Linked DNA regions of Notamacropus eugenii. The protein of the gene in region 2 interacts with the protein of the main gene of each other region in a pairwise test. Links are inferred from orthologs where the notes say so. Each region holds a gene or a part of one and is shown on either strand. Other genes may lie near its edges.

The links.
Region 1: the proteins of CCNDBP1 (region 2) and IMP3 interact in binary tests that used the Homo sapiens proteins (3 or more experiments, as listed by UniProt). The two-hybrid records come from large-scale screens. The link is inferred for Notamacropus eugenii from reciprocal best matches to the Homo sapiens genes CCNDBP1 and IMP3.
Region 3: the proteins of CCNDBP1 (region 2) and myelin P2 protein interact in binary tests that used the Homo sapiens proteins (3 or more experiments, as listed by UniProt). The two-hybrid records come from large-scale screens. The link is inferred for Notamacropus eugenii from reciprocal best matches to the Homo sapiens genes CCNDBP1 and PMP2.
Region 4: the proteins of CCNDBP1 (region 2) and C3H22orf23 interact in binary tests that used the Homo sapiens proteins (3 or more experiments, as listed by UniProt). The two-hybrid records come from large-scale screens. The link is inferred for Notamacropus eugenii from reciprocal best matches to the Homo sapiens genes CCNDBP1 and C22orf23.

The regions. Positions count from the first base shown.
Region 1 is NC_092872.1:240,231,770-240,238,232, reverse strand, and holds IMP3 (U3 small nucleolar ribonucleoprotein protein IMP3), read right to left. Parts: upstream 1,972-6,463; 5' UTR 1,809-1,971; coding exon 1,254-1,808; 3' UTR 1,100-1,253; downstream 1-1,099. UniProt on the Homo sapiens protein: Component of the 60-80S U3 small nucleolar ribonucleoprotein (U3 snoRNP). Required for the early cleavages during pre-18S ribosomal RNA processing. Part of the small subunit (SSU) processome, first precursor of the small eukaryotic ribosomal subunit.
Region 2 is NC_092878.1:29,699,922-29,708,125, reverse strand, and holds the start of CCNDBP1 (cyclin-D1-binding protein 1), read right to left. Parts: upstream 3,614-8,204; coding exon 3,265-3,613; coding exon of another isoform or gene 3,258-3,264; intron 3,149-3,257; coding exon 3,089-3,148; intron 2,885-3,088; coding exon 2,805-2,884; intron 1,557-2,804; coding exon 1,475-1,556; intron 1,181-1,474; coding exon 1,084-1,180; intron 917-1,083; coding exon 843-916; intron 1-842. Other genes in the region: TMEM62 (transmembrane protein 62), read right to left, coding at 4,024-4,356. UniProt on the Homo sapiens protein: May negatively regulate cell cycle progression. May act at least in part via inhibition of the cyclin-D1/CDK4 complex, thereby preventing phosphorylation of RB1 and blocking E2F-dependent transcription.
Region 3 is NC_092875.1:304,999,925-305,008,559, reverse strand, and holds the start of myelin P2 protein, read left to right. Parts: upstream 1-5,325; 5' UTR 5,326-5,423; coding exon 5,424-5,496; intron 5,497-8,448; coding exon 8,449-8,621; intron 8,622-8,635.
Region 4 is NC_092874.1:295,434,974-295,443,656, forward strand, and holds the start of C3H22orf23 (UPF0193 protein EVG1), read right to left. Parts: upstream 3,565-8,683; 5' UTR 3,515-3,564; coding exon 3,455-3,514; exon of another isoform or gene 3,229-3,454; coding exon of another isoform or gene 3,178-3,228; intron 2,620-3,177; coding exon 2,511-2,619; intron 2,413-2,510; coding exon 2,350-2,412; intron 636-2,349; coding exon 459-635; intron 1-458. Other genes in the region: POLR2F (DNA-directed RNA polymerases I, II, and III subunit RPABC2), read left to right, coding at 4,273-4,292, 4,955-5,024, 5,701-5,831.

The DNA.
Region 1 (6,463 bases), on a different chromosome or scaffold from region 2:
CACTGGGAACTCCTTACAAATATCTAGCCCTCAGCCGTCTCAAAAGAACAAATCCCATTTTTCTACCTAGGAAAAGAAGTTTAAATTAGTTCAGAAGCTCTAAGATCACAGTTCCTAAATGCTACAGTCAAGAATCAAACCCAGGTGTTCTCTGAACCAAAGTTCCTCAGAGTTCTTTCCTCCACTTACTATGCTTTTGACTAGCATTTTATTTTACTGATGAATATCTCAAGTTAAAATATTTTAAATTTTAGGTGCAAATCACCAATGTGGGTAAGAACCTGAAGTCAATATGAGTATGTAGAAACTGACAAAGTCCGAGCCTGCCTCTAATTATTTATTGTAGGATGGCATGTGATTCAAGGAAATCAAGTATTTCTTGTTCCCTTCCTGTCCACAGGAAGTCCTGCAGAGAACCCCATTGATAAAATTTGTTGTCCTGCAGAAGAGATTTGTAAATGGATGGATCAAGGAAGGGTGGGTTGGCGTTGAGGCCAAAGCAAACAGGCTCATTGTGTGATCCTGACAAAATTTCCCACAGCTGTTTACTCAGTCCAACCCATCTCTCCCCAGTGTAAATAAAACCACAGTTGAGACCCATTTTTTAAAATTGGGATTCCAAGGTGGGAAAACCACCTCCCCCCAAGAAATCTGGCCTTTCTTCTCATTAGAGATCAAGCAGAAGGTTTCAATGAGCTGACTTAAATGAAGCCTACTACCAAATTAAATAGTAACATAATTACACGTTTAAAATATTATCAAAGCTAGCTATTCTCCTTCCTTAAAACCTCTCCCCCTCACATAGCTGTTCAAAAGTAAGGCACACTTGGCGCTGAGGGAACAGACTTGGTACCCACTCACGTCAGTGCCAGGACTGGAGTCAGGAGGACCTGAGTTCCAATTCAGGCCCTGATACTTGCTAGCCATGTGACCCTGGGCAAGTCATTGAACCTTGTTTGCCTCAGTTTTCTCCTCTGTAAAACTGAGCAGGAGAAGGGAATGGCAAACCACTACCATATCTTGGCTAAGGGAAACCCCGGTGGGGTTGGGGAGGAGACGCGATTGGATTGAAAGGACTCAATAACAGAATGCACTGGGGTCACTCAAGAACAAGGGCAAACTTAGCCCGTTTATTAAATAAGTGGGGAAAAAAGTGCTGCTGCTGCTACTGCTGCTGCTCTTCGGGAGGCGCCGCTTCTGAAAACGCAGGGGCCTCGCACAACGTCTCGGATCGGACCGGACCGGACCCGCGCCTACGCGTCCAGGTCGAAGTCGTCGCGCTCGTTGCTGTAGTTGAGCACGTGCCGCTTGATCTTGGACGAGTCCACCCAGGTGATGAAGTCCTCCATGGCGCGCGTGACCAGGCAGGCGGGGTCGGTGACCACGTGCGGGCCCACGCGCACGTGGCCCTGCTCCACGAAGGCGACGGCGGCGCGCAGGTGCTGCGCCATGCGCAGCTTGACCAGCACGACGGGCAGGCGGCGGCGGCAGAAGCTCGACGCCGTGACGTTATCGCAGAGCTCCAGCGACGACTGCGTGGGCACGAGCCCCATGGCGTACAGCTTGCCCAGCAGCGCGGCCGTGGCGCGCTCGCGGAAGGGGTCTCGCTCGGGCAGGTCGCGCAGGCGGCGCGCCATGTCGCGCACGGCGCGGCTCAGCCGGTTGTAGCGCGCGTAATCCTCGCGCCGCTGCACGCGGTAGCGCCGCAGCACGCGCAGCTCGTGCAGGTTGTGGTCGGTGGCCTCCCAGTTCAGGAAGTCCACCTTCTTCAGGAGCTTCTGCTCGTGGAACTTGAGCTTGCGCACCATGATGGCGGCGGCTGGTGCTGCTGCGGCGGCTGGTGGTGCTGCGTAGGAGCGAGAGAGAGAGAGAGAGAGAGCGACCGAGCGAGAGCTGCAGAGACGCAGAACTGCACACCCGCCGGCTCTGGGCAGAAGCTAAAGCACTTCCGAGTCAGGCCAGGAGGCGGGGCCGCGGCTGGCTCCCTCCTGGCCGTTGGCCGACGGGCAGCGTGGGACACGCCCCCGGCTCTGATTGGGCCAGAGAAAGTCAGGCTCGGCAGGCCTTTGGCTTCCACCCAAACAGCCTGCTTCCTGGTCCCTTAACGCGCCTGCGACTTGGGCTCCTTTGGAGAGGTTTAAGATGCTTGGCTCGGCCCAGGGGCTATCTCCCGGCCTTGGCTTTGGTTCCCTTCGTCCCCTTCGGTTTTTTTTTTTTTTAACTTTAAGCAACCAAGTCAAAAGAGCACTGATTGAACGCCTACTGTGTGCAGGCATCGTGCCGAGCCCTGGGGGTACAAAGAGACCAAAGACAGCTCCCGTTTAGTGTATGTTTTTAATACCGTGCCTAATGTACATATGTGCGTATATACCGGGCGGCTAGGTGGCTCCGAGGATGGGGGGGAGGGGAGGCGGGGCGTCAGGAGGTCCTGAGTTCAAATCCTGCTGCAAACACATACTAGCTGTGTGACCCTGGCCAAATCACTTCCCCCTGATTGCCCCAATTTCCTCATCTGTACCATGAGCTGGAGAAGGAAAGGACAAAACCTCTCGGGTATCTTGGCCGCGAAAACCCCAACGAGGGTCAGACTCTAAAGCAACTGAATCAACACACATATACAGTATAGAAATAACCGTAACGTTTGGGTGTGTCTGTACGCAACACTAGTCATTTTGCCCCTATCCTGCGCCCATGTCCTTGTCTCCTCTGGCAGATTTTGTTCCTGCACCTCCAGGGTCCAGCGCGGTGGCAAGCGCTTTATCAGTGCTCCCTGATGGACTGCGGTGTGTATGCGGCACTTTAATGTTTGCAGAGGACTTGATTTAGATGATCTCCGAATCTCACTGTACTCCTGCTGAGGCAAGCATTACAATCTTCCCTCTACCAAATGAAGTCCTCCTGGTCACGTGGCTAGTGAATATCAAGGGGCAGGGTGTGAACCCCTGGCTTCCTTTCCTCTAGCCAGGAGCTCACGTTGCCCATACTGGGTGGGAGGGGGTCAGAAGAGGGCTAGGCTGGTGGTGCCGGGAAAGTAGAGCGCTGCCGTCTATGAAATGGTAAAAGCCCACTTGTCAGACTTTTGGTCTCAAGATCCTTTTATAATCTTAAAAAATATTGAGGATATTTGTTTATGTGGGCTATCCCTATTGATATTTACTGTATTAGAAATGAAAACGTGTAAGTTTTATTATGAAAATTATTTTGACCTTGAGGACCCCCTGGAACGGTCTCTGGGACCCTCAAGGTACCACGGAGGACACTGAAAGCCACTGACCTAGAGGAAACTCAGCTACCAATCAGAGAGTGAATCATTTCTAATTAGTAGAACTAACCTTGTAACTGTGGTTTACTGTGGTTTATGGTCTTGGGGACCATAGCAAGCTGATTCTTGGCAAGGTTATTGGAATGGTTGTCCCTTTCCTTCTCCAGTGGATTAAGGCAGACAGAGGTTAAGTGTCTTGCCCAGCGTCACACAGCTAGTAAGTTGTCTAAGGTTACAATTGAACTCGGGTCTTTCTGACTCTAGATGCAACGCACTGAGCCACCCAGCTGCCTCGAACCCCTTACTACTAGATTATAAATTTCATGATGTCTTATCTCTGTTCTTCTCCCTCCTCTTCATTTTTTAGATGAAGAAACTGAGGCACACAATCTGCCTCCTTGGAAGGAGTACCTACACTGATGAGACCACAAATCCAATAAGGAATACAGTGTTTCTAAAGGTATTTCTAAAACGCATCATGTTGTCCAGCACACACACACACACACACACACACACACACATATACACACACACACACACACACACACACACATACACACACACACACACACACACACACACACACACACACACACACACACACACACACACACACACACACACACCCCCTTATCTCTTGTCTCACTATCCTGCCTCCCACTTCGCTTCTCCTCCCGGAGCACATTCCCCAGCAGTTTCTCTCTCCACCCAATGATGCAATCCATAAAAACAAAAAGGAGAAAAATGACCAAAAGTTAGCAGAGTAGGGAAAGTTCTATTTAAGTCAACAAATACTTATTGAAGGCTTGGCATTGGTAGCAGTGCTGGGTGGGGAGGGAGAGAAGGGAAAAGATAACCTAAGCTTAGTAAACACATTACATAGTGTAGGATCTAGTAATAACAAAGTTAGTTGAATTAATTAGAAAGGATTCACTTTTTGATCAGTAGTTTAGTAATTAGGGAGTCAGAAGCAGTATATGGTGTGATGGAAGGACATGGAGCATGGAGAGACCTGGGTTCAACTGTTCAATCAGGTGACCCTAGAGAAATCTGAGTCTCAGCTTCCTTATCAGGAAAAAGGTACTAATAATACTTCTACCAAGTAAGCACTTACAGGATTGTTGTAAGAACCAAATGAGTTACTATGTCTAAAATTTAAAGCATTACATACGAAGATCCAGCATTATTATTAAGGTAAATGTTGTGTACAAATAGGTATAAGGAGAGCCCAAAATAATACATGATAAGAACATAAAAAAGGGTGCAAAGTATTTTGTGAAGTCTGGTGAGGGGGAAGGTCATTATTAGTAATGGTCATTGGGGAGGTTTCCTGTAGGAAGTGGGATGTTGGTCTTGAAAGGATGAGCTGAAATTCACCAGGGGTGTGGGAGCTGGGGGAGGGGAGGATGTGAATATTCCAGGTATTGGGGATAACTGGAGTTGAGCAAAGAAGAGGAAAGTTATCTGTGTGACTGTCTATGGCTGGAGCTTCTCATGGCAAGAAGGGGGAGGGAATCACATGAAGAAGCTGAGGGGCAGAAAAGAGCTCCGGTCTTTGGTGAAAGTGCCCCGTAGCGTTGTAGAACCCCTCAGGACAAGGCCAGCATTGGCTTCTTAGTGGGGGATCGTTCTGGTGCAACCTGGAAGGAGCCGGTGTTTGTATCTGAGGGATTTGGGCACCTGTAGAGGGAGGGGGAGCAAGGGAAGCCAGTACTGAAGACAAATGTTCCCTCCTTCACCATTATACCCACTTCCCCCATGTGCCTGATCATAATAGGAAAATATATTTCTGGGAGATATGTAGAATCTTCAGTAATAAATATATTAATAATAACAGCTGGCATTTGTATAGCAGTTTAAGGTTTGCAGAGCTCTTTGTAAGTATTGTCTCATTTTATCCTCACAACAACTTTTATCCCCATTTTATAGATGGAGAAACTGAGGCACAGAGCCTTTCATTGACTTAGCCAGGGGCACACAGATTTGCGTTCAGGTCTTCCTGACTGATTCCAGGTGCAGTGTTCTAACCACTGGGAAGACCTAAAGAAGGACAGAACTGGAAGAGACCTTGAAGATGATTCAGATAAACTTTCTCATTTTACAAAGTAAGAAATTGGGGTCTGAAATGGGAAGATGGTTGTACCTCAACACCTTTTCTGTTCATTCCCTTCTCTCCACTTACATGAGCCACCACCTTGGTTCAGCACATTTTTCAGTCGTTTTTTCAGTTCTGTCTGACTCTGTGATCCCATTTGGAGTTTTCTTGGCAGAGATACTGGAGTGATTGACCATTTCCTTCTTCAACTCATTTTACAGATGAGGAAACCGAGGCAAATAGGGTTAAGTGACTTGTCCAGGGTCACACAGCTGGAGTATATCTGAGACCAGTTTGAATTTATGAAGATGAATCTTCTTAATTCCAGGGCTGGCACTCTATCCACTGTGCCCCCTAGCTGCCCCTCAGTAAGCCTTAATAAATCCTTGTTGAATTGAACTGAATTGAATTTAGGTCCTCATATACCTGGTCTACTACAACAATCTCTTAAATAGACCTCCAGGTTCTAGTCTCTCCCCTTTCTAATCCACCCATCCCATATTTCTTTCTAAATCTTTCTAAAGCACAAATTTGACCGTGCCACTCCCCTGCTCAGAAACCTTCTGTGGCTCCTTATTGCCTCAAGAATAAACTACAAATTCCTCAGCCTGGCATTTAATGCCCTTCACAATCTGGCTTCAGCTGCCTTCCCAGGTGTGTTGTACATTGCTCCCCTTTGCATATTCTGCATTCTAACCAAACTGACTTATTTGCTGTTACTTGAATTTGGTATTTCATCTCCTGCCTCCATGTCTTTGCACAGGCTGTTTCCCATACCTGGAATGTACTCTCTCATTATCTGACTGAGTGAATGAAAAAGCATTTATTAAATGCTTACAAAGTGCCAGGTATTATGCTAAGCTCTAGAGAAACAAATACAAAGTAAAATAGTCTCTGCCCTCAGAGAGTTTAGATTCTAATGGGTGGGAAAACAATAGAAATATGGGACTGGTAGGGAAAGAAGTACCTGTGGGCCACCCAGGAAGCTGAGCGTATCCAGAGGGCAGTCAGTTGACATGTCTTTTCTAGGAATAATGGCAATCTGGGAAGAAATGAAAAGGGGGTGGGGGTCATAAGGTAGCAGTAGGCTGGTGGACAGCCACAAG
Region 2 (8,204 bases):
CACTCCATGCTTTCCTGTTTTTCTTTTCTCTCATTATTTAATTATGTGCTGGGAATGCCCTCCCTGTACTCCTCTGCATATGAATTCCTGTCCATTCTCTAAAGCCCAACTCAAATGCCATCCTCTCTGGGAAGTTTTCTCGGTCTCCCAGCCCCCTGCACTTTTCTGTACCTTATGTTTTTTTCATATTACTCTGTGTTAGGTATGTTGGGATGTTATATGTATATCTCATAATTCTCCTACTTAACTGTAAATTCCATGAGGATAAGAGCCCTGTCTTATGTAATCTTTATATCTTGCTTCCACCCCCACTGAGCAGAGGGCTTTGTACAGAGAAGTATTTAACAAAAGGTTTTATGGAGTTTGAACGTAAAACGTTTTCCACTGATACCCTCCCTTTTCAGTATAAAAATAAAGTCCCAAGAAGAACTAAAATGCTTAAATCAGGGTCCATTTGGAAATCACTTATTCCAAGAGTGTCCCATCAGAAACACCTGGCTCTATCTAATGACTATTTCAGCAGTGTTCCTAACACTATGAGTAAAACTAGGTACATGTACCCCAAATATTCAACAAATATTAAAATTCCCTAATGGAATTTGCACAGAAGGGAGAGGGTAATTTGGGGCATTGAGAAAGGAATAATAATTGAGAAGACAGTAACATCAAATCTCCTTTTTCTAACTTTCAGCAGTGACAGCTAATTTTTTAAAAGTCTCTTACTTGTTAAATCTGGATTACATTATGAATGCTACAAAACTGGAAGTGAGATGTGAAAAGCACCCATTCCCTCTCATATAGCTGAATACAATCATCACCACACCTCCCACTACCTCACTCACCTTTTGGGAGGTGAGACACCTGGTCACATGTTTCCCAGATACTGCCAGTTGATATTAGATACTCGTGTGATATGCTAAAGAGCAAAAACAATGAGGATATCAACAACTCAAATCCCTATCTCCTAAAAAGTATCCTTCCTGACTGACCCATCCTGATGCCCAAAAGAAAATTCACAGGGGTTTTCCTTCCTTCCCAGGCACTATGAGTCCCACAAAGTAACAACTAGAACTAGGTCATTACCATTGAGGTCGAGCTCTGACGATCACCTCTGCAAGCTGGGCCATCCCCTCCACTACATCCACAATGGTATCTCGAACCATTTTTCGTAATGTGATGCCTGCAACCAAAGCCAAATTTTAAGCATCCTAGAGGTCTTTCAGGGAGAAATCGTTTTCTTTGAGCAGATAGTCTATACGCTGCAGGGTAGCAGGCAGTACCTACACTTCACAAATGACCTGCCTTGTCCTTCCTACTGCTCATCAATCCCATTAATTTGTAGTTTTCTGACTAGAAAGGTAATAGTGTTCTGCCCAAAAGAGATCCGGCACAAGAATCCTGCTAGAGCTTTCACTCACTCATTCAAAAATTATATCTTGAATACTTAAGTATCTACGTGTGCAAAGCAGGTTACCTTGATCTTTGGGAAGCCAGTAGTATGTAGAAACCTCTGCCAACACAGCATTCTGGATACTTTCACAGAGTTTCCTGCAGTCCTACAAAAAACACAGATCCATTCCAAAATGAGGAAATTAAGAGTGACATGATGAAAAGCAACTGCCCTAGAGAACTTCATCATTATCTATCAAGCATTTACTGATCACCTACTCAATACTATCCAGGGTTTGGATACTGAACACCCATACACCCCAGTCAACAAAATATCTATTGTATGAAAGAGAAAGAGTTAACACTGTTTCAGGATGCTGAGAACCTACTCTGAATCACACACACCAAAATTTTGGACAGCCTACTTTTGGGGAATCCCAACTTAAACCAGAGGGTTACTAGAAGAGATCTAATACTCCTCACGTCTATTTTCCTACAGTGAGTCTTTCAGTGATCTCCTGCTCTTAATTCTATACGCACAAAATTAATTCAGTGCTATAATTCTTTCACTTTAGCACTCAGTTCATATTAAGCAATAAAAAAATATCAGACTAAAACACATTTCTTTCTCCTCTTCCCCATATGCTTAACACGTTGTGATTTCAGAACACAATTTTCGAGTCTATTTTGTTAAGTTCCTATAAATAAAGGGATTTAAGTTAAAAACGTTCCAGACTTCTAGAAGCTTATACATCCAAACAAATTATGATTAGAGAACAGGCACGCACACATAACACTGTAAACTATATGGAGACGTAGCATTAAAATCGACTGGAAACTAAATCCTACTTTTACTTTTCACCCTGGAGTGAAGAAAAACACTGAAATGAATATCCATATTTGCTATATAGATATCTACATAAAATGATGTTACACTGTTAATTCATGATGTCTCTAGGATTTTCCAAGTACGCTATAAAAATTTTAGAAAGAGGAAATTTTTGGGGGGAAAAACCCCACTATCATTATCCTGTATTTATGGTCTGCTTTTTATCCAGGGAACTCAGGCACTTTCCTATCCATCATTTCAACTTACTGCTGGCATGAAAGGGGCAGACTTGGACAAGTTCATCACTGCAGGTGAGGTGAAAGTGGAAAAAAACAGATATATCGAATCTTGATGTGTGTGTCCATGTGTACGTGTGTATATGTATATGCATACATACATACTTATAGACTACAGTCTATGCACAGACTTCCTTTCATGGAAACGAACAGCAGGGGAAGCTTGCGGATAACCTTACCCCACCTGGGGTACCTGGCTCGGTAGAAACCTGGGGGCTCAGCTGCCTTTGGTTCTAGACAAAAGCAGGGGAAGAGAAAAGGGGCGGCCCACGGGCCCGGGGCAAACCCACCTCGGGGGAAGGCAGGGGCGGTCTCGCGAAGGCCAGGCTCAGCTTCGTGGCTTCCTGGGACACGGCCAAGGCCCTCTGGCCTGGGGGAGGAAAGGCTCGATGGGGGAGGCGGCGGCGGGCGCCGAGAAGGGGCACGGGTCCGGGCTGGGCCGCGGCCCATATCCCCACCCTCCCGGGCCGCCGCCCCCGGCTCCGGTTGCCCTCCCGTCTCCCGGGCCGCGGTGTCCCGGCGCCCAGGAGGGAGCTGCGGACCCTCCCAAACGCCAGAGGCGGGCCTCACTCACCGAGCTGGTCCCAAAATCTGTGCGCATCGAACGCCTCCGCGGTCTTCCGGGCCTCGCCGTCTGCGGAGGGACGGGGCGGCTCGTGAGAGAAGGGAAAGAAGGGGCCCGGACTCCGGCCCCGGCCCCGGCCCCCGCCCCGGGCCCCTCCCGCCGCAGCCCAGGCCCTCACCCCGCACCCGCGGCAGTAAGGAGCGCAGCACCCCGATGAGCCTCCGCAGCTGCGCCACGGGCTCCTCCGGGCTCGGTCCCGCCGCCCCGAGATCCATCGCGCCGAGCTTCACAGCACCAGCAGCCGCTCAGTCGGCGCTCCCGTAAACCGCCTGCAACTTCCGGAACGGAAGCCCTAGACCTCAACTTCCGGCGCTCTCTGCCCGCTTCCGGCAACAGACTGAGGAGCCGGCTCCGCCTCCCGCTACCGGACGGTGGGCGTGTCTGAGGTGCCCGGTGACCAATGGGTGTTCTCCCTCCCCCTTGTCTCCGCCCCTCGACCGAGATAGAGCTCTGGACCGCAAACAGCTTATTCATTTATTTGATTAGTTTTAAACAGTCCCTCCAGTGGAGGCGGAGAGCCTAGAAAACCGGAAGTTCAATTAAACCATCTACAAGCCACGTGGGGCGGGCGCCGGGGTGGGCCCGACGCGGCCGGAAGGGCCTCGGGTCCGAGCCCCGCACCCCCGATCCCGCTCCCGGCCTCCCCCGGAAGGCGCCCTCCCGGTGCGGCATTTCCATTCCACAGTTCAGTTCATGGCTTTGCTTCCATGGGGTAAGCAGCAGAATCAGCAAGCACAGCATTAATCGGGGCCACGTTTGGAGACTCGCTCTGAGGGAACCAGCCCGCCGGCCGCCCCAGCCGCAGCGGGACCCGCCGCCCGGTCGGCCTCCGGAGGGCCGCGGCCGGGCAGGCCCACGCTCGGCCGCTCGCGGCGGCCTTTGGGTCACTGCCTGTCGGGGCCCTGGTGGCTTCGCAGCTCCACGGCGAAGGCTCTGAGCTCCCTGGGGCTCAGGGTCCAGGCCAGACGAACGAGGATGGGGGCCAGCAGCGCCAGCCAGCCGTACGTGGGGGAGAAGACGAGCGCCGTGGTGCCGTAGGCCTTCCAGAGCAGGACGCAGCAGCCCAGGTGGCAGAGGTAGAAGAGCCCCGCGAGCGCGTGGCCGGGCACGGCCTTGAGGTATCTGCCCCGCAGGTGAGTGGAGAAGGTGTGGCCCTGGCAGCGCAGCAGCAGCGTCCAGCACAGGTAGGCGGAGAGGGGTATGATCACTGTAAAGATCTGGAAAAGGAAACAAGGATTACCAGCGGTCTGGCGAACGGCCCCGGGCAGAGTCCGGCTTATCTCCCGGGAGTGTCACCGAGGACTGGACGGGCTGCCCCGCACGTGCCGCAGGCCTGGTGCCGGCCCAGACACTCACCAGGCCCGAGCGCTCCGTCAGCAGAGAGGATCAGGGTTGGTCACTTCGCCAATAAGAAAACTGCTTTTCTCTGTGAACTAGAAAATCCTTTCACACCAAATTCTGTTTTCATCATCACACGTTCATCATCTGAATTCTCACCAAGGCAACCAAACCCGCAGGATCTTCATTCTGACAGCAGCAGGGAACGTGCCCTGGGACTGAGAGGTTACGTGCCCACCACGTGCCCGGCACCATGCCAGGTTGGACATGCATAGGGAGGCAGCATTCTTGCCCTCCAGGAGTTTGCCAAGGGGAGAGACCTCATTTAGGAGAGGGCACCAGGGAGGCAGGTAGGGACTGTACAAGGTGGAGGTGAAAGGGAGGCCAGGCCACGTGGCCTTGAAGGTAGTGGTGGACCCCAAGGGTTTAAATCCCTCCTCAGATAGGCACCATTTCGGACCCTGAGCAATCCACTTAACCCCTCTTAGCTCTAGTTTTCTCATTTGTAAAATGTGGATAGTAAACAGAACCTCTCACGCAAGGTTGTTATGAGGGTCAAATGAGAGGATAGATGCCATTTACTATGAAAATGTCAGCTATTATAAGTTATGCAAGAGCTCAGTTAGGAGATAGAATGTTATGTGTAGCAGGAGTAGGGAACCTGTGGCCTCAAAGCCACATGTGGCCCTCTAGGTCCTCGAGTGCGGACCTTTGAAAACAGAATCTGGCCTCAAGGCCACTGGTTTCCCACCTCTGGTATAGAAGGCCAATTTCACCAGAACAGAAAATACTTAAGGGGAGTAATATGAAATATGAAATAAGATGGAAAAAAGGTGGGAGTCAGATTGTGGAGGATTTTAAATGCCAGGCTAAAGATGAAGACTTTATTAACTAGAGGGAGGCAGGAAAATATGATCTAATCTGTTCTATGAATATCAATATGGCAGCTGTATGTAGAGGTTGGATTGTAGAAGAGATGGGGGTGGGGTGGAATGAGGCAGGAAGAATAATTAGAGACTACTTTTACTAGTCTAAGAGGTAATATGGGTACAGATTGTATGAGTAGACAGAAATAGATGGATTTATGAAATAAGATTTAACTGATTGGGGCAACTAGGTGGTACAGTGGCACCAGGCATGGATTCAGGAAGACTCATCTTCCTGCGGTCAAATCTGGGCTCAGACACTTATTAGCTGTGTGACAAGTCACTTAGACTTGTTTGCCTCAGTTTCCTTATCTGTCAAATGAGCTGGAAAAGGAAATGGCAAACTACTCCAGTATCTTTGCCAAGAAAACCCCAGATGGAGGGATGAAGCCAAGATGGCGGAGTAAAAGCAGGGACTTGCTTGAACTATTCCTACAAAGCCCTCCAAATACCTGTTTTAAAAAAAATGACTTTAAACAAATTCTAGAGCTTTGGAACCCACAAAATGACAGAGAAAAACAAATCTCCAGACCAAGACCAGCTGGAAAGTCGACAGGAAGGGGGATGATAAAAGGGAGGGCAGACTGGGGGAAGGGGTAATCAGAATGCATAGCATTTGAGGTGGGGGGAGGGAAGAGATTGAGAGAAAATTTGGAACTCAAAATCATGTGGAAATGAATGTTGAAAACTAAAAATTAATAAACAAACAAACAACAAAAAAAGAAAACCCCAAATGGGGGTCACAAAGAGTCAGATATGACTGAAAAGCAACTGACTGGCTATGTGAACTGAGGAAGAAAAAAGGGTCAAGGATAGCTTCAGGCCTGAGAACTTCTAGGCTTGTTTTTGATGTCATTCAATGAAATAATACTTTAACGAGTAAAAATGTAATGAATTACTTTACATATTTCCCATGTACACACATCTATCTCCAAATAGCGTTGTGACTTAAATTTTCCATTTCACTGTAATGCCCCTTGGTCTCTCAGTCCCCTGGGTCACATTAAGGTAACATTTGTACATCTAAATGTTTTTATTTTCTCTTCATTCTTAGGTAATGGATGAGCTTAGGCATGGAAAAGGAAAGTACAGAAACTAAGAGGAGGAAGAGTTCCGTCTGCTTTCTGGATAATATTTCTGTATAAGCTTTATGTGTTGGTTGGTGTTTGCTTCAGCAACCTTCATTATTACCTTTAAGGTTCAAATATCTAGTGGCTCCTATTATCTAAGAACCACTAAAATGCCTTTTCTGGTTCAATATGCCCCATAAAGAGAATACAGAAAAGAGGAAGAGATAATGGGACTAAGGAACCAGTCATTCCCTATCTGAGGTGAATCCTTTCCTCCCTGGAGAGTATTTATCTTCAAAGACTTTCTTTATAGATGCATAACTTCTTTAATAATAATAGTGCTTCTAAAAGGAAGCCAAACTTTGAGTAACTAAAAAGTCAATAATAGTCCCAGAGAACAGATAGTGAAACATACCTCCCTCTGCAGGAGTACTTTAAAGGAAGAACAGAAAATTTGCATACATTGTTGGAGGTAGTCCCTGTACTGGGTTTGAGTTTTTGTATTTGGCCTTTGGGGTTTAGTTTTTTTTTTTGGCCTCAACTATTTCCCCTTGTTATAAGAGAGGTGTATTTTGTACTTGTATGGTAGAATACATCCAAAATTTTTAAAAAACAAAAGATAGTAATAAGATATTATTTTAAATAATAGTAAAAATAATTATATATCATAGATAGGTGCAGGTTTTTAGCACAACCATTATTATCCCAATGTAACTTATATCCCACAGATTTCCAAATAAAATTTAACTTTTGTAACTTTTCAATTTTAAAATATCAGTAAATTTTATTTCTTAACTTTTTTTCCCTTAAAAAAAGATCGTGAATATGTAGCAACTGCTTTTCATTGGTAGTGCTACTGGCCTAGATAAGGAAGCAATTTAGAGAAAATTAAAGTGTACTGTCAGAAGACCTGAGTTCAGATCCTACCTCAGGCACTTAACTAGCTATGTGACCCTGGGCAGGTCACTTAACTTCTGTCTGCCTTGGCTTCCTCAACTATAAAATGGGTATTATAATACCACCTAACTCAAAGGGTTGTTGCAAGGATCAAATGACATATTTGTGAAGATCACAGCATAGTGCCTGGCACATAGCAGATGCACAATGAATGCTCATCCTCCTTTCCCTTGCCCCAGTGCTCATGGCAAAGTTGTTTTTCTTGGCCAGCAAGGAGGGGGGGTAGAGGTGGGCAGGATTGTTTGACCAGGAGGAATCTCAGAACACACAGAATTGCGTGGTGGCAGTGCTACAGGAAGGGTGGGAGACCTGTACACAGATAGTTTCTCTTCAAGAACACCCCATGTTTGCCGAGCTCTTTGTGAGTTCAAAATCTGACATGTTTTGAGATTAGTACACTTGTGTAATAGATGAGGTGTTTTTTTTGCTTTTGTGAATATTCCTGTGTGTGATAAGTAAAATTTATGTTAAAGAAGATAATTTATTTTCTTTATCCACTATCTGTAATATCATAACATCAATAATTCTGGGGCACACCTAGCAAAATTTACAACAACAAATTCACAACAAAATTCACATACTTCGAGAAACATTGGATTACAACAATGTAGATGGAATCAACAACAACAAAGAAACTGAATACTCTGTAATTGTAATGAGCAAGCATGAAGAAATGAGAAAATATATCTCCCTTCTTTATGGAAGTGGAGGAGTATACACTGCTAGCAGCTGATATGTCAATTAGTTTTGGGGAAAATGATCCTTTTCCTCTTA
Region 3 (8,635 bases), on a different chromosome or scaffold from region 2:
GTCAGTTAGATAAAGGTACATGTTACCCTAATTATTGCTTAGTTGGATGGCAATATATTGAATTAGCATGTTAGCACATATAAATTAGACAGGAAAGGGTCCAGAACTAGATAGGATAATGAGGTGGTTCACAATCAGGAAACTCTACAGATCTTAAACTTTCTTTTTCATTTAACAAGAAAACAACTTTCTCTTCCATATTCTCTTCTCATTGGTGGTGGTAGTGGTGGTGGTGGTAGGGGCTTATAACAAAGATGCGTACTCAAACAAAACAAATTGTCACATTGGCCATATTCCAAAAAATATATGCCCCATTCTGCACCCTAAGTCTATCGTCTCTGTGACAGGAAGTAGGTGATATGTTTCATTGTGAGTTCACGAGGCCTTTGGAATCTTGGTTAAACATCGTATTAATCAGAGTTCCTAAATCTTTGAAAGTTGTTTGCTTTTACAACTGAGTTGTTATTGTAGAAAATTTCCCCTGGTTCAATTCCCTTAACTCTGCCTCAGTTCATACAAGTCTTTTCAGCTTTTTCTGAAACTTACCCCTTCATTATTTCTTTTAATGCAATAGTGTTCCATCACATTCATATACCACAACTTGTTTGTCTACTCCCCAACTGATGGACATTCCTCTCAGTTTCTAATTCTTAGCTGCTATAATTATTTATGTACACATTAATCCTTTCCTTCTTTCTTTCATCTTTTTAGGGGTATAGGCCTACCGATATGTACCCTAGTAGGGTAAGCAACTGCTTAATGACTTTGTACATAATTCCAGATTGCTTTCCAGAATGGCTAGACAAATTCACAGTTCCACCAACAGTGCATTAGTGTAGTACTAGCAATGATGCCAAGCTAATTCCTGTTGCCAAGACACATTTTTAATGCCAGTATTCTTTGGCTTTTACTATATAGTTGTGAATAATAAACACCACAATCTCAAATGAATCAAAATGCAAGCTACACACAAGGGTGTGTGAAAATACATGGTGGGTGTAAGTAGTCTCCAGCATATTCACTAATATTGATATATGTGCAAAGAGTGTCATAAAAGTAATGTTGTTCTGGTGAATGTTTAATGATAGGCTCTTTGCAGGGTGGGGAATGTCCACATGTATGGACCACACGCTTTTAAGTTTTATCTGCATTATTAACATTTTCACTAATATTACTTTAAGTCACAATCAACAAAACAATAAATCAATCTCTCATTTGTACCATTTACCAATTTCTAAGGTATAAAATACTCACACCGAAAATTTAACAATTGCCTCTTTCAGTCTCCTTTCCTGACTCCTCCTCCATATTGTGCTCTTAATTGCAGATGTCCCTGAAGGATTGTCCTAGACTCTTTATCTTTTCTCTCAGTTGGTGACTGTCTCAGTTCCCATGATTTTAATTATCATCACTATGAAGACGATTCCCAGGTCCTTATATCTAGCCCTAGAATTTCCAACTAATGTCCTTAAAAGCATCTAAAATTCAACTGGTCCAAAATTGCACCTACCTTTCTTCCAAACTTCCCCATGACAGCCAAGAATATGATCAAAGTTTCACTAATTCAGGTTCACAACCTTGGCTATTATCCTCAACTACTCACTCTCATTCCTTCTACGTATACAAGCAGTTACCAGATCATGAGGTTTATTTTTGGATAACATGCATCAGATTATTTTCATTTCTCTCTACTCACATAGCCACTGCTCTAATCCAGGCCTTTATCACCTCACACTGAGACTATTGTAATAGTCTCCTAATTTGTCCCCTGCCTCAAGCATCACCATGCTCTCTCCCCACTTCCCCATTTCAGTTTTTCCTCTACCTGCTTGCCAAAGTTATTTTCCTGATGTGTAGACCTGATCATTTGACGCCTCCTCCCCCAACCAATACGTTACAACGGCTCCCTCTTATAAGAATGTATGGATGAGTGGCAATCTGAACTCATGGCAGGGAGGAAAATATATGAATAAGATCACGAATACATTTGCAATACCAATATCTGTGATTACGTGGTGCTTTTTTCCTCTCCACCTCCCCACACCCTCCAAAGCCTCTATAAAGTTCACTTTGAGATTCTTGATATAGATTATCAATCTATTAGAATGGTCAGATTCAGATCACTTGATCCTTTAGAGTAAGCAAATTCCCATGATGTCACATGTCAAAGGAGATTTTGGAATTTATTATGGTTCATATGAAATTAGAATCAAGGTTAAGGTTGGTTTCCATAGATGATTGTTCCTTTATTATTTTCCTATGAATCACTGGAAAAATGCCTTCAGCTTCTCACTGGTTAGCCCAAGTCCGTAAAGTGAACGCTAAAGAAAAAAAGGTACTTTCAGACTATGAGGATAAAGAGAAGGCAGTATCTTGGGATTATAGGTTTAGTTAGGAATCCTGGCAGCTGAATCAAGTGTTATGGCCATAGCACAGATACAATATTTAGATCCTGCTTGACTGCAAAGATTTTTTTTTCTTTTTTCTGGACCATTATTTAATTGATTTACAGAACTCCAAAGGGAGGAAACTTCCTCTGTCAATTCAGATCAGTAACTGTTCTACAACTTACGTTATTAGAAAGTTGTATTTCATGGAGTCATTGAAAGGTTAAGTGACAGTCAGATACATCTGAATGAGGACTTGAATCCAAGTTATTCTCATCCCAGGACTGGCTCTTTCTGCTATCCCACACTGAAATAAGAAGAGTACTTTTTATTCTCTTGGTACAGAAAAATGAATTTCTGAAATTCTTTCTTTAATTTCTTTTTCTTTCCATCTAACATCCATGATTGTCTGAAAACACTTTTAAGAAGCCAACACAATTCCAAGTAAAGAATTTCAATTAGAAGGTCTTTTTTAATGACTAAGAGTCTTAATTGTAAAATTCAGTTAGTATTCTCCATTTCAGAGAAATGCGCTGCTTTCTGGGGCAAATGTGATTTCTAAGTGTTTAGCCTAACTAGCTTATGTGTTACACTGGGGGACCCTCTATGGGTCTGTGGCCCAACCACCACCAACCTCTGTGGAAGCCTTTGCTGAGAGTCAGCAACTTTTCTTTGATTTACTATAAAAGAATAACTGTTTATTTCAGTCTTTGGTTTATTGTTTCATTCTTTCAACAATTACAGAATTGACTGCCTACTGCCATGTTTGCAAAGCACTATCCTGTGTCCTGTGAGGTGGTACAAAGAAGCATTCATAGAACCTTAGAGTTGGAAGAGGCCTCTGAGGGCCTTGACTCCCATTCATACCCTAATCATGAATCCTGTCTACAAAATTCCTGACAAGTTAGTAAAATGAGGAGTTGAATAAGATGGCCCCTTTAGAACTATTATCCTAGTTATTCTGTACCTGGAGACCCCCAGAAACAAGTAGCTCACTTTCTTTCCCCCTCCTCTCCTTCCACTCAAGCAGCCATGTAGGAGATGAAGTTTGTGCTCTCAAGAGCATTATAATACAGTAGGAGAGATGGCACGTTGTCAAAAACCATAAACTAGGTAATAGACCATTGTTTTTCACAGTTTAACAGCTTCATAGGAAGAAACTTTTGTTGAGAGAACAGAAATGAGAGAACAGTAAAACATTACTTTTATGGGCTGAATTATTTTTAGTACTCCAATGTAGGTAAAAGGAACTATTTCTCCAAGAGAAGATTGAGGTTGTGTAAAATATGAATAAATCCAACTTTTTAATACCTAAAGTTTAGTGACTGAATGGTGTAACAGGAGAGAGAGCACTGAACATGAAGTCAAGTCAACTGGGCTTGAATCCCACGAGAGGAAGAGAGTCTGTTGCCCAATTGCCTCTATGGGAGGGTACTGCTGGCTGGCCCATTTGGTGCCAGGCAACCCGGGCAACAGAATGGGAACAGGTGCTTCCTAGTCCCTTCTTCCTCCTGTACTCAATAGCTGTGTGACTATGGGCAAGTCTCCAGGTTTCTGTTTGCTCATCTGTAAATGATCTCAAAAATACTCTCCAGTCCTGGTCTACTGTGATTCTCAGTCCAAGGTGAGGCAGGATATGTTATTAGAATTTGGGTATTATAAACTGGGAAAGGAGGTCGAAGACCTGGTATAGTCAGGTAAGTGTTCATAAAAGACTTAGAATTCTTCGAGGAGAATATAATTGTGTTGCTGATGATTTAACTAAAATCCAGGAAGTTTACAGGATTTGCACTCAGGTCTCTTGACTGGGCTTTTTCCATTACAGCATACTATTTCTAAGTTTTGAGTTTACCTTCCAAGCACACCTTATACTCTCTTACCCTCGCACTTTTGTTCATACTGTTCTTTTCACATGATGTTCACACTCTCTGTAAACCCTTTGCAGACCTTAAAGGGTTATATAAATTCTAGTCATTACTATTATTATCCCCACTTATTGAAAACATAATCATCCTCAAACCCTTGACCCACTGCTCCCACCTGCTATTCATGGTAAATCACCCAGACTCCTATTTGAAACTGAAGCCATCTGATGTGAGCTCCCATAACCCCCTTTATCCACCTTGAAACTTAGTAGTAGCCTACCCATTTTTTTCCTTCACTCCTGATTTAATAGCTTGTGGAGAATATAAATGAAGCAAAGTTCTGTAGGAAGCTGCAAGGTATGTGATCAAATGCGCTGGTTTTCCTGAGAATGAAAATCTTTGTGCTAGCTAGACCTTGTCTTAGGCCTGTTTCTTTGTCCTATATGGGAACATAGCTGGTATATTATACTTACCGCCCACTCTGCCTGCCTAGAAAATGTGAGTTATGTCAACAACTCCCTCCTTCCCTAATGAATAATCCTTATAGTACTTCCTAACCTTTCTCTGCCACAGCATATTTTGGTGAGGGGTAGAGTTATCATAATGTAAAAAGACTCGGATTTCTCTTTCTTCCTTTGTACCAAATTCTTGAATGTGGGGAGTTGGCATCTGGTGTCCTTAGGATGCCTCCAAAGAGAATCTCACTTATCCTCTCCCTCTCTAATATTTGCATGCCCTGACCTTGAACTGGACTTGTGGAATAGTATGGTTTTTCTAAACTATTAAGGGTCAGATAATAAAATTTAAATGTGGGCCCAACCAAAGTCTTTTTGTTTTTTCTTTTCATTTCCTTTTTTTAAAGAACTTAGGTGGCTTTTTTATTTGAAAAAAATTAAAGCAAACCCATTTCTGGAGAAAAATGAGATTGTGGGTGGGCTTCTCTTTTGTGCCAAATGAATGAATGAGCAATGCTATGAAGTGGAGGCCTTTCATCACTTGGCCCTGACGTTGCCTTTCCCCATTGGATGCTGGTAGTAGTCACATGTCCAGAGCATCTTTGAAAAGATGCCATTGAAGCTGCTGCAGTTCATGCCATCCTGCCTCTCACAGGGGACTGTGACTGCCTTTCTTTGGCTAAGGTCACCATTTAGTGCCCAGCAGGTCCAACATCATGTGTAACAGATTTGTGGGCACCTGGAAACTGGTCTCCAGTGAAAACTTTGAGGATTACATGAAAGCTCTAGGTGAGGAAAAATTTAAAAAAAACAAAAAAACTTCTGCTTGAGGAGAAAATCATCCACCTGCTTATTCTCTGAGAGAAGTTGGATGTGTGTGTGTGTGTGTGTGTGTGTGTGTGTGTGTGTGTGTGCGGGGGGGAGTTGGGCTGATGATGAAGTGGAAAATATAAATTATTGTAATAATGGTTTCTTGATGTGGTTCTTTTTTCTTTTATTTCAAAATTCTAAAAATGAAGAGGAGACTTTTAGAAGCTTTGTCAATGTACTTATCTTCTATTCTCATTTATCACTTGGATTTCTAGGGACCAAGATACTCCAGAAGAGAAAAAATGGAACAGAATATAGAATGTCCCAAATTGAAGTCTGATATTTATCTAGGCATAGCATGTTCACTGAATTAGATTTGATTTTTGTCAACTCCTTCTTATTCAGTAATGAAACTGTTTGCACAGGGGAATTTTGCTTGATTCTTGCCAGTCCCTAACAGAGACTACTTCTCTTTGTCCCCACCACTGAATTCCACATCATTGTCTGAGCAAACTGAGGCTTCCTTTGGTCCGCTAATTCCAGAGTGGGAGAAGAAAGAGGTAAGAGGAAGTAAGGACATAGGAGATGAGGGTATAGGAGAAGACAATGCTACAGGAGCAGTGAATCGGTCTTCATTGACTCTAATCAATGACAGACTATCTGACCTGTGTAGATTTCTCACTTGGGATAAAACAATAAGTAAAAATCAGGTTTTTATTCATTATGCATTGGCTAACACACTTCCTCTAGGAAGGTTTTTTTTAACTTCTAATCTCAAATCCAGTTGCTTCATAGGATCATAAATTTACAGCTGAAAGGGACTCTAAGGATCATTTAGTCTCTCTCTGCTTCATAGATGAAAATCTATTGGTCACTGTTCACTTCAGTATAAATTTACAAATACTGAAAGATATTTTTTTGCTTTACTATGTAAAGCTTTATTATGTAAGTCTTGAGGGTACCCAATCTACTGGTCTGGGGAAAATGTTGATACAGGTAGATTATGAGCAATGATGACAAGGTCATGAATGGTAGCTATAGGAGTCTCAGGGTGCTTAAAAACATTATTCAACATAGAGGTCAGCTGTTAACTCCAGTGAGTATAGTGTAGCTTGAATTCAAAAATGGCCATCTTGACACAGCATGGGCCACCTCTGAAACACTTCTTCATAAACTTTTCTGTGGCCATGAATCTTCAATTTTATAATAGAAATCAATGTGAAATCAAGATTTACTTTACTAAATCTTATAGTGAACTTTTGTAAGACATAGCTCTAATATCCCTACTAACTATCCCAGTAACTTTATAAAGGACCAAAGTATCCTACTCTGACCCTGATTCCCTCATGTGTTGTCTTCAGGGGCTACCTTTGCTTTTATCTTTGAATCACTTAGCAAGATGTTTGTCAAGAAGTAAGTGTGCAATTAATACTTTTTTTTTACCTTTCCTATTTTTCTTCCTTCCTTCCTTCCTTCCCTCCTGTTTTCCTTCCTTCCTTCATTTTTAGAAAACAAGAGATATTAAACAAATATATGAAATAATCAAAAAAAAAGGTTCTAACTCTGGTTTTCTTGCCTTTCTGACTGTATCTTCTTTCAGTCTTCTTCCTCTTCTTATCCCTTAACTGTATGATTCTCCCCTAATTCAGTCCTTGGTCTTCTATTCTATTATTATAATCTCTCTCTTGAAAAAAAAATTCATCAGTTCTAACAGCTTCTAAGATTAGCTGTGTGTTCTGCTCTGGTTACTGAGTGGCCCTGAGTCTCAATTTCCTCACCAGTGAAATGAAAGGGTTAGAAAAGAAGATGTCTCAAATCCTCTCTGGCTCTAACATCTGGGTCCCTAACCTATATTAAGCCATCTCTTCCTCCAGACAAATAGTTCTTGTCTCTGCCCCTTCTGAATGTCATTCTGGTTTTTCCTACCTTTGTTGTTCATTAAGATCATTTTGTAATCTTAGATTTTTATACCCTAGTAATGAGTTTTTTAAAATTTCTTGATTGTCCTTTCATGTAACCCTAGATATCATGAAACATACTAATTAATATCAGTAAAAATAATAATAAATTATATTTATATGGTTCTTTAAGGTTTACAAAGCACTTGTATACATTATTGCACTTGATCTTTGTAATAATCATAGTAGGTGGGTGATATATGTATTATTATCCTCATTTTAAACATAAAAGAACTGAGGTTCAGAGCATCTCACGTCCATGTTCATGGATTTAAACTCACATCTGCCTGATATCCAATCTAGCACTCCACTTCTCTTCCATATGACATTCTTTTGAATTTGGTTAACTTTATCCATCTCCATGTACCTCAGTGCTTTTGATTCCTATATTTTTTATTAGAGTCAGTGCTTTGTACACAGTAGACACTAAATGGTTGCTGAATCAGTGAAATAGTTAATGATATAATCCAAGCAATAGCGTTTAGCACTGGTTTCTTTACCTGGGTTTATCACACATTTTTTCTCTCTTTGGGCATTTCTAATTCCCACAGAGGGTATAAAGCTGTCTCAGTGCAGTGAAGAACAGTAATTAACGTGAACAGAGCCTAGAATTGTTTAAAAGTTAAAATGCTACTTATTTATTCTAGCAAATTGTATTTATTTTTATCTGTAAGGGTTCTGAAGCCAAGTGGTCTTCTCTTCGTATACAAGGTTTCTGGAAGCTCAATTCAATCCTGAAAATTGGATTTCACTGAAGCGACAGAAAAAAACCCACAAAAATAGTTTCCCTTCAGGAGATAAAATATTGACAGGAAGATTTCTTCCTTGATAATGTTATGATTTATGTCCAATCTATACCTGTGACACCATGGAAACATTCACAAAAGAGTAGAGCATGTGATTAAAAGCCTTCTCTTTTGAAAGAGCAAGTATTCTTTCTGACAGTATGATTCTAACCCTGTCTGATTTTTAGGGGTGGGATTAGCCACCAGAAAATTGGGAAATTTGGCCAAACCCACTGTGATCATCAGCATGAAGGGTGATATTATAACCATCCGGACTGAGAGTGCCTTTAAAAATACAGAAATCTCTTTTAAGCTGGGCCATGAATTCGAAGAAACCACAGCTGATAACAGGAAAACAAAGGTGAGAGGTTAACT
Region 4 (8,683 bases), on a different chromosome or scaffold from region 2:
GTGCCAAAGAGCCAGGTGATGCTTTGGTGATGTAGACAGGAGCAGAGCTTCACATGGGAGACCCACTCTCAGAACAAGGCTCAGGGAGGGAGGAAGGAAGGATGACTGACAGCCTCTGCCTTGCTGAGGTGAGGTGAGGAGGGAGGAGAGTTGCTCTGGCCTCACCTTCAGGCCCTGCTCATCTTACCACTGTATCCCAATAAATCTCCTTGGGACACATAAGTTTTGTGGATTTTGTTTTCCCCTTTCCCCTCCTGCGTCACTCATTCCAAAAGGCATTTGCTGCACATGTTGGAATGGGAGATCTTGCCCAGTTCTCTGGTTCATTTTAAGGAGAATCTTGCAAACTCAAGGAAATTGCCCTGTCTCAGTATCTGTCCTCAATTGTGCCCATGGCTAGGGCAGAGGTTGGCAGTGCCTCATCTCCTTATTCTGAAGCCCAGGGCTTCAAGACTTACGACAAGGTCTTGGCTTGAACTGGTCTCGGGTGTAGGCCTCAGTGGCCTGGCAGACTTCAGCAGGGCGGAGATGGGGCCTTGGGGCCAAGATGGGAGGCAGACACAGGCTGTTGATTCGTTTGGGCATTGGCTTCTGGCTAGATACTGGGTTGCAGTAAGAGGGCAGCGCTTCGCCTCCTGGGGAGAGACCAGAACAGAAAGAAGTCCAAGACCCAGGTACCAGGAGTCCTGCCTATGGCCAGCCACTTCCTAGCCTACTCCCCTGAGCCTCAGTTTCCCTATCTGTTCAACAGAGATGATTGACTTCCAGTGGCAGATATGCACCAGTGTAAAGTCCTGTCCAGGTCAGCAGAGGAGATGAGGCTGGGGGCAGGAGGAGGATGTGGAGGAAGGGCCAGGGAGCCCAAGGAATGATCTCTACTAAGGGTTTAGGAAGGGAGAGCATCCAGATGGAAAGATATGCAAGAATGCCCCCTGCCCCGGGGCCTTTGCTATTCCCCAGAGCCTCCAGCTAGCAGGCAGCTCCAAGACCCAAGTCATGGGCTTTTGCAGGGAGTCCCTGGAAGTAACACCCTTCTGCCTTGTAGAGTTCATTAAACTATGCAACTCCTTAATGCATTTAAACTGATGTCCATCCTGTTTAACTGTGTCCCTCTACTAGTTTGGAAGCTCCCAGAGGGCAGAGCTATGTAGACGTCTTTATATCCTGCTTCTAGCACCTAGGTTGGGAGCTTCTTTGAGCATGCCCTCCATAACTGTGGGCTGGAAGAATCAGGGACCCAGTGTCACTGAGCTTGAGCAGAGGGAAGGGGGGGATTCACAGATACCAAAGACAGACATCTATCATGACAAGACCATGAAGGAGCCTGGCCATCAAAGTCTGGTAAGGAAGGATGTCAGAAGTAGCAACTTTGGAGACAGAGGACCCCAACTCAGATCCTGGCTTCTTACTGGGGCTGGAATGGATGCTCCCAGAGGTCCCAACTCTACATCTGTAATCCTGGTAGTGGCACAGGACAGGAAGCAAGGCCTAGTGGGGTAGTTTGGGATAGTAACAACTGACATCCTGACTGGGTGACCCTCTCTGTGATTTCAACAGCTCCCTAAGGTTGCAGAGGAAGTAGAGGGAGTGTCCTCACCTGAGAAGTCTATCAAAGAAATTACAGGTCCAGTCCCTGTAAGGCTAGGGCCTTAGGAATGGTCCAGGTAATTGGTACCAATTGGTAAAGAGGAAGAAGAGAGACCAAGGCTACAGCCTAGGCTGGAAAAATTTTACTGAAAAGGTGGGATATGGATAGTCTTAAATTGGATAAGGGAAGTGGTACAAAGACTTGGGAGGTGAAGAGGAATGTCCATGGAATGTAAGGGGAGCCTATTTGGCTGTGGAGGAGAATTCCCCAGAGGGGGGCAGTGGGAAAAAAGTTTGGACAGTCAGGTTCAGGCCAGATTGTGGAGAACTGTCTTGGAATGGAATGTGTCCCACAGAATTCCAGAGTTGGATGACTTCTGAGGTCCAGTCCCATCTTCTCTCCCTTTTCAAGTTAACCCTCCTGCAACATTCAACAGAGGACCCATCTCCCATTTTACTGAAAAAGTTAAGGCCAACAGAAGTGAGCACCCTCAAGATTGCTCTCCCAAATGTCTCAGTTCAACTAGGCCAGTGATTTTCATGGAAGGAAGATGGAATCTGCACCATCCTCCCCAAAAGACCAAGACTAGTTTATAGATATGGAAAATGAGCCATACACAGATGACACATTACATCCCAAAGGAATCTCTAGACACTATGGGAGAAGTGCCTAATCAGCTATACAGCCATTACTGTGCCATTCTAGTTAAGGCGTGAGGAGAGTGTTGAAAGGGCAGGAGGAGGATCAAGGCTTCAAATTACTTTTCATCGAATCCATGAGCTGTCGCTGCTGGAAGCTGGTGAGTTTGGACTCCTCCATCATCACTGCAAAACAAGCAGGTGATATAAGAGCCACTGGGCTTCTAGCCCTCCTGGGGCCCTGTCCTGATCAGCCCTTCCTTCAGGGCTGTCCCTCCACTGACCTTTCAGCAGCTGACAGGTTTCTGGGGTGTAGCTGGATTGCCGTGAGTGCCAGAAGCCAGTACCTTTGGCCACAGCTCCTGATTTCCCCTTTGCTGCCATGGCAAAACCCTACAGGTGGAAAAGAAAGGTTTTTAGGACTAGCCTTCCCAGAATGTTGAGAGCTGAAGGGGATCTCTTCTAAGAAACAGGCTTGGGGAGAAGGATGACTTGTTTAAAATGAGCCATTGAGCAGTGAAGAGATTTCAGGTCTGGTGATGGGTGGAAGCAGGTCTTGGGAGAGGGCAATGCCATTAGCAGGGTCATTCTACGGACGGATGTGTGGTTCTGCTCAGCCTCGGAGGGCAGTCTGACAAACAGGAGTCATGGGTGCAGATTTAGGCTTGACGTCTAACAATTAGAGCTATTCAAAAAGGAGAAGGGTTCCCTCTCGCTGGAAATAGAAGGCTGGAGGATCGGGTGGGAGGAGACCATGGTGTCATTGGTCTAGAATGGGAAGAAGTCTCCCCCAAACGTGGACTTCTTGAAGACCTCCAGGGACAGGGAGCTCGCTACTTCCTAGGGCAGAAATCGTCCTGAGCAGGACACAGGGATGGGGGATTCCTAGAGGGGGGCCGGGGGGTGGCCTCGGTGGTCAGGAGGTCCTTGCAACTCTGGGCTTCTTCTGACCCCGAGCAGTCCAGCCTCAGCTCTACCCAGGCCAGGCCTGATGGGAATCATCTCCTGCCCTCCGGGGACGCCCGAGCGGGGGGCTCAGGCTGCACCGGCGGCGACGAGGAGAGGCGATCGCTGCGGCCGGCCCTCGGCGACACAAAGGGCGGAACTCGCCCCCTGTGGTGCTGGGACGATCGCGACAGGCCGCCCTTGTCGGGGAGGTGCCACGTGACAAGCCCCCCGCGGCCACCCGCCCTGGGCTTCCCCTCTCCCCCAGGGACGGGCTCCGGACCGCTCCGCTCTCCCCAACGGGTCCATGGGGCTCCGAGCAGCGGCCGCCTCCGGCTACCATGGCAACGGCTGCGAAGGCCCCGCCCTCAGCCCGGTCCGAGCTTCCCGGGCCCCTGGTCCCGCCTACGCTGCCATGGCAACCGCCCAGGCTCTAGGCTCCCCTCCCTCGCTTCAGGCTCCGCCCCTTCACGAACATTCTGGGCCCCGCCCCTGGCATCTCCTATGCATGGCCTAGCCATCTCCCCTCAAGCCCCGCCCCTTCCCCCAGCGCTTCCGTATCCGCCTCCGGCTCCTCTAGGCCCCGCCTCCAGGTCCTCTGTTCTGGCTCTCCCTCCCCTCCTGGTTCGGCTATGTCACTGCACCGGATCGGTCTCGGTCTCCTCTTCCCAAGAGCTCCCCACTCTGCTTCCGTCTCCGCCTCTGGCTACCGGGGGAACCGCCGCGCGCCCTGCTCGGGGCTATCCGGCTCCTCTTTGCCATGACAACGGCAGGCCCACGCCCCTTTTTGGCGTCAGGCTCCACCCCCTGCCCTCTCTCTGCCCTTCTTCGCCCCAAGAGCTCGAGGTTCCGCCCCTTGGCCTATTACCGGAACTTGCTCATATGCTAAGGTCACCGCGCAGGCGCAGGGAATTCTGGTAGGGCCGGTCCGGAAGTGGGTGCTGGAAGTCGTGAGTTTGGTCTCAGTGGCGCGAGCCCGAGCAGTGCAGGAGGCCAGACCGGGTGGCTTGGGCTCGTCGGGTTCCGTGAAGAAGGTTCTGCTGGGAGACAGCTCTTCCTGGCCAAGGCGGCCACTGGGCCCGAGCCCAAGGCTCCGCAGGCATGTCTGACAACGAGGACAAGTGAGTGCGGAGAAGGGGCAGATAGAGCGGCCCGAGGATGGGGGGAGGGGAGGGGGATGGAAGGAGGGGGATGGAAGGGAGACTGAGAAATGGGGGCTCAGCATTGGAAGGTAGGATGAAAAGAGGTGCAATCACAGAGGCATTATGGCCTAGGGTCAGAAAAGCCTGGCTTCGCGTCTTGTCCCGGATCCTGACCCCTAGATGATCTTGGGCAGGTCTCCCCCCGCCCCCCCACCCGCATTAGCACTGGCCTGTGCCCCTCCGATGTTGGACTCCGTGGCTTCTGGTGTGAGGCCTCTTTTGTCTCCTCTTGTAGAATGAGGGCAAGGACCGTCTGGTCTCTGTCTCTGTCTTCTTAGGTGCCTGGCGCACACACCCTGGCAGGTACTGGAGGATAGTGATGTGCACTTGGGGTATGAGTCTAGCACCTTGAGGATCCTGAAGCCACATGGGGACAGATAAGGCCCGGGGGGGGGGGGGGGGGGGGGAGGGGGCGGTCACTTCATCCAGCTCCCTCTTTTTACAGTGGGAGCTTCTCCACCTCCAAATGCAGCCTTCTTTTCCACTGCCCCAGCAGATCCAGGCTAGAATTGGGGGAGATGGGGGAGGGTATTTGGCCCTCTCCGAGCACCCAGGTTCACTGGTGCTTTCTTCCTGTACAGTTACGATGGTGATGACTTTGATGACGTGGAGGAAGATGAGGGTCTAGATGACTTGGAGAATCCTGAGGAGGTCTGTACTTCTCCCATGGCTCTTACTGCCACAGCACAACTGAGGCCAGGGCTGGGTGCCAGTCACCTGGGTGCCAATCACCTGGGTGCAGAGCATAGTATCGTTCTAGTTCATGGCTCTTCTTCTCACCTGGAACCCTGGAACCACAAAGGTCACTGAGCATAGAGTGGAACAGCCCCCCCCCCCCCCCCCCCGCCTCCCCCCCCCCACTGTAAACCAGCAGCCCTGTGTGCAGACAAGCCAGCTGCAGGCTTTTCATGCCATCCTTTGTCCTTGGCTGCTGGGGCTCTCAGTCCCTTCTTGCAGGTGAAGCGTCGTGGAAGGGACAGATCTAGGACAGAGTTACTTTGGAAGACCAGCCTCTTCCCTGGTTTCGGGATGTGGCAGCTGGCCGGGGGTTTCACGACAAGAAGTACATTTCCATTTGACCAGTCTTGTGGCCATTCAGTAAAATTTTGGTCTGGAAGCCAAAATCTTTTTAAGCTTTTCTTCCTCCAAACTTGTCACCTCTGTGGTTTATTCCACTTGGAAAATGGACTGAGCCCTCTGTTGGGGGTATTCGAAGTCTTACTTCCCCATGATCTCTGGTTGAAGTTGCCAGGAGCCTCTAGGTCTGAGCCTTTGACCTTTTACACCCACAAGGAAATTTCCCACTCTCCTCTCCCTCTTTTCCTAGGAGGGCCAGGAGAATGTGGAGATCCTTCCCTCTGGGGAACGGCAGCAGGCAAACCAGAAAAGGATCACCACCCCTTACATGACCAAGTACGAGCGAGCCCGGGTCCTGGGCACCCGGGCCCTGCAGATTGCGTAAGTAGAAATCCCCCTTTCCCTACTCATCCCCCACCCCACTCCCACCCCATTGACATCTCAGTTCAACTGACATTAAGAGTACAGGAGCTAAAATGAGTTTGAGAGTCAGGAAGCCTTGGCTTCAAATGCATCCCTCGTGGCCCTTGTCCAGCCCTGTTGCTTCTAGCTATGCTGTCCTCTCGATGACAACTGAGCTGTTAATGGGTTGCAATCTGCCTTTGTCAGAGGACTTTCTCCACTAAGGAGATCTTAGGAAATTGACACAGAGTTGAAGTCCAAAGTTTTGTTGTTGTTTAGTTGTTTCAGTCATGTCTGACTCTTCATGACTCCATTTGGGGTTTTCTTAGCAAAGGTACTGGAGCGGTTTGTCATTTCCTTCTCCAGTTCATTTGACAGATGAGAAAACTGAGGCAGATAGGAAAGTGACTTGCCCAGGGTCACACAGCTAGTAAGTGTCTAAGGTTGTACTCAGCCCTATGTTCTGTCCACTGCACCACCAACTGCCAAAGTCACCTAGAAGTCAAAGGCCCAGGGCTCACTTTGACTTGAAGTAAGTCATTTCATTTCTCTGGTCTCAGCTTCCTCATATGTTAAATGAGACTGGACAAGGTGACCTGAAAGGCCCCTCCCAGCTCTGAGTCTTTGATTCAGGGACATGTGCCTTCATGTCTCTAGTGCCCAGCATAGTGCTTCCACCTGCTAGGCCTGCAGCCTTGAGGCCATGTACTAGGCATTTAACAAATGGTTATTGAGTGAAGGGTTAATGAATGAAAAAAGCCTATGGTCTAAGTGAAACAAGTACACAGAGAACTGGTATAAATGATATTAGTGCATAGTAGAGATGCAAGGAAAAACCAGGAGGATAAATTGGTTGAGGAAGAGATGGCTTTCCCCTGGAAGGTTTCATTGGGGCCTGGAAGGAAGGTACTTCCTAAGGCAGGGGCGAGATGAGAATGAGGAACAAAGGGAAGTCTGTCTTTGTCAGAACCTAAGTGGTAGGAATGAATGAACGAATCAGTGAGTGAGGCATTTCCTAAGCTCTTCCTTTGCACAAATCACTGCTAAGCACCAGAGACACAGAATAGTCCCCCGTGCCCTCCAGGAGTTCACATCTTTGTGGAGGAAACAACATGGAGGGAAGGTTTCAGCTGCCTGTCAGATGGACGCTTCCCATCGGCGGCAGCAGCAGCAGAGTAGATGCCAAGCCTGTTTTTTTGTGTCATTGCCTCTGACAAAATCATCAGTTATTGATGTTGAATGCTTTGACAGCCTCAGACAGAAAAGAACTGTCTTTTCTGGGTGTTACGGAAGTGCCTGGGCATTGTTCTTGGGCACGTTCTGTTTGGCCTTTCTGTCAACCGTTTGGATGAAGGTGTGATTGTCAGATGTGTAGGTGACGTGGTTCTGGGAGGGACGACAGACATGTGGCTGAGTCTAACAAGATCAGATGGAGAGAAATTAGTTTTAACCCCCCCGTGTGGGTTCAAAATTGTCAGCTGAGGACGTTCAGACAAGAAGGGTGTGACTAGACCACATCACTTGAAAATATCGGGGGGCAGGAATGCTAGTAATTTCATGAGCATTAACAGTGTGATGATGTGGCTGCCAGAAGAGCCCAGAGGATTTGAGGATCTATCGAGGGAGGCGTAGCAGTCAGCCCAGGGGAGCAGATGGGGAGCAGATGAGCAGCCTCTGCCCAGGCCTGGTCCCATCTACAGGGTTGGTTTTGTGCTGAGGCTACGTTTTAGGAAGAATCTGACATCCTAGTGCTTCTTCAGCAGGTGCAGGACGGTCTGGTTGAAGGAACAGGGGCAAGGAAAACTTGGCGTAGGGGGAGGTATGTGATGCCTGTCCTCTGGTATCTGAAGAACCGATAGGGAGGAGGGGCCAGCTTCTCTGGGCTCAGAGGGCAGAAGGAAGAGTAAAAGAGATAGAGAGGCAGATTTTGACTTGATAAAATGATGCAACAGTGTGTGGGAGGTAGAGCACTGGAGGGTTCTCTGTGGGGTTTTGAACTGCTCCTGTGACTTTTGGGGCCCTTTAGACCTCTGTCAAATCAAGGGTCGGATGAGGGTCAGACTTCAGGGAACCTCTGGGGCCAGTTGCTCCATTTACGGAGGTGGTTCATCCCAAAGACTTGGCCAAGGTGACATGGGTAGTAATTGTTAGGCAGGATTCACACCCAAGTCCTCTGACTCATGAGCCCATAAAGCTGCATTTGTGCTTTCTGTGGAGGGAGAATTTTCTGTAGCAGTTTGATCCATCCCCAATAGAGGAGCCTGCCTTGGAGATACCGGGGTCTCCATTATAGGAGAATGCAGGTAGAGGCTCAGGTTACACTGGAAGACCTGCATTTCCCTCCATCTCTGAGATTGTCTGACATGCATGTGAAAGTAGGACTCTGAGCTGGGAAGGGTGGCATAGGCTTTGAGGCCTTCCTGTTAGTCAGGACTCTTCCTTTAAGGCCATTCTTGTGGACTTTCTAGGCTCCTTGAAGCCAGGACTTCAGTCCTAGATGCCTCTGTGTCCTGTCAGGCATCCAGCACGGGGCCCTTCTCAGGGAGAGTTCAAAAAGAGATCAATTGATCGATTGATGTTCTTGGCCATGGACTGAGCAAACTCAGTTTAAACTGACATTTAACTTGGGAATCAAAGTAGAAACAGGAGAATTATCCATGGGTTTGCTCCTTACCCCTTATTGAGGTTAACGGCTGCCTTGGAAGGGGTTTGGGCTGGTGGGCATGGGCTGCCGGCTCCAGCCTCGCCACCTGGCGGTCACTGCCAAGTAGGACAAATCAGCTCCTTCTCTAGCCTCGTGGTGTGCCACCTGGTGGTCACTGCCCTATGCT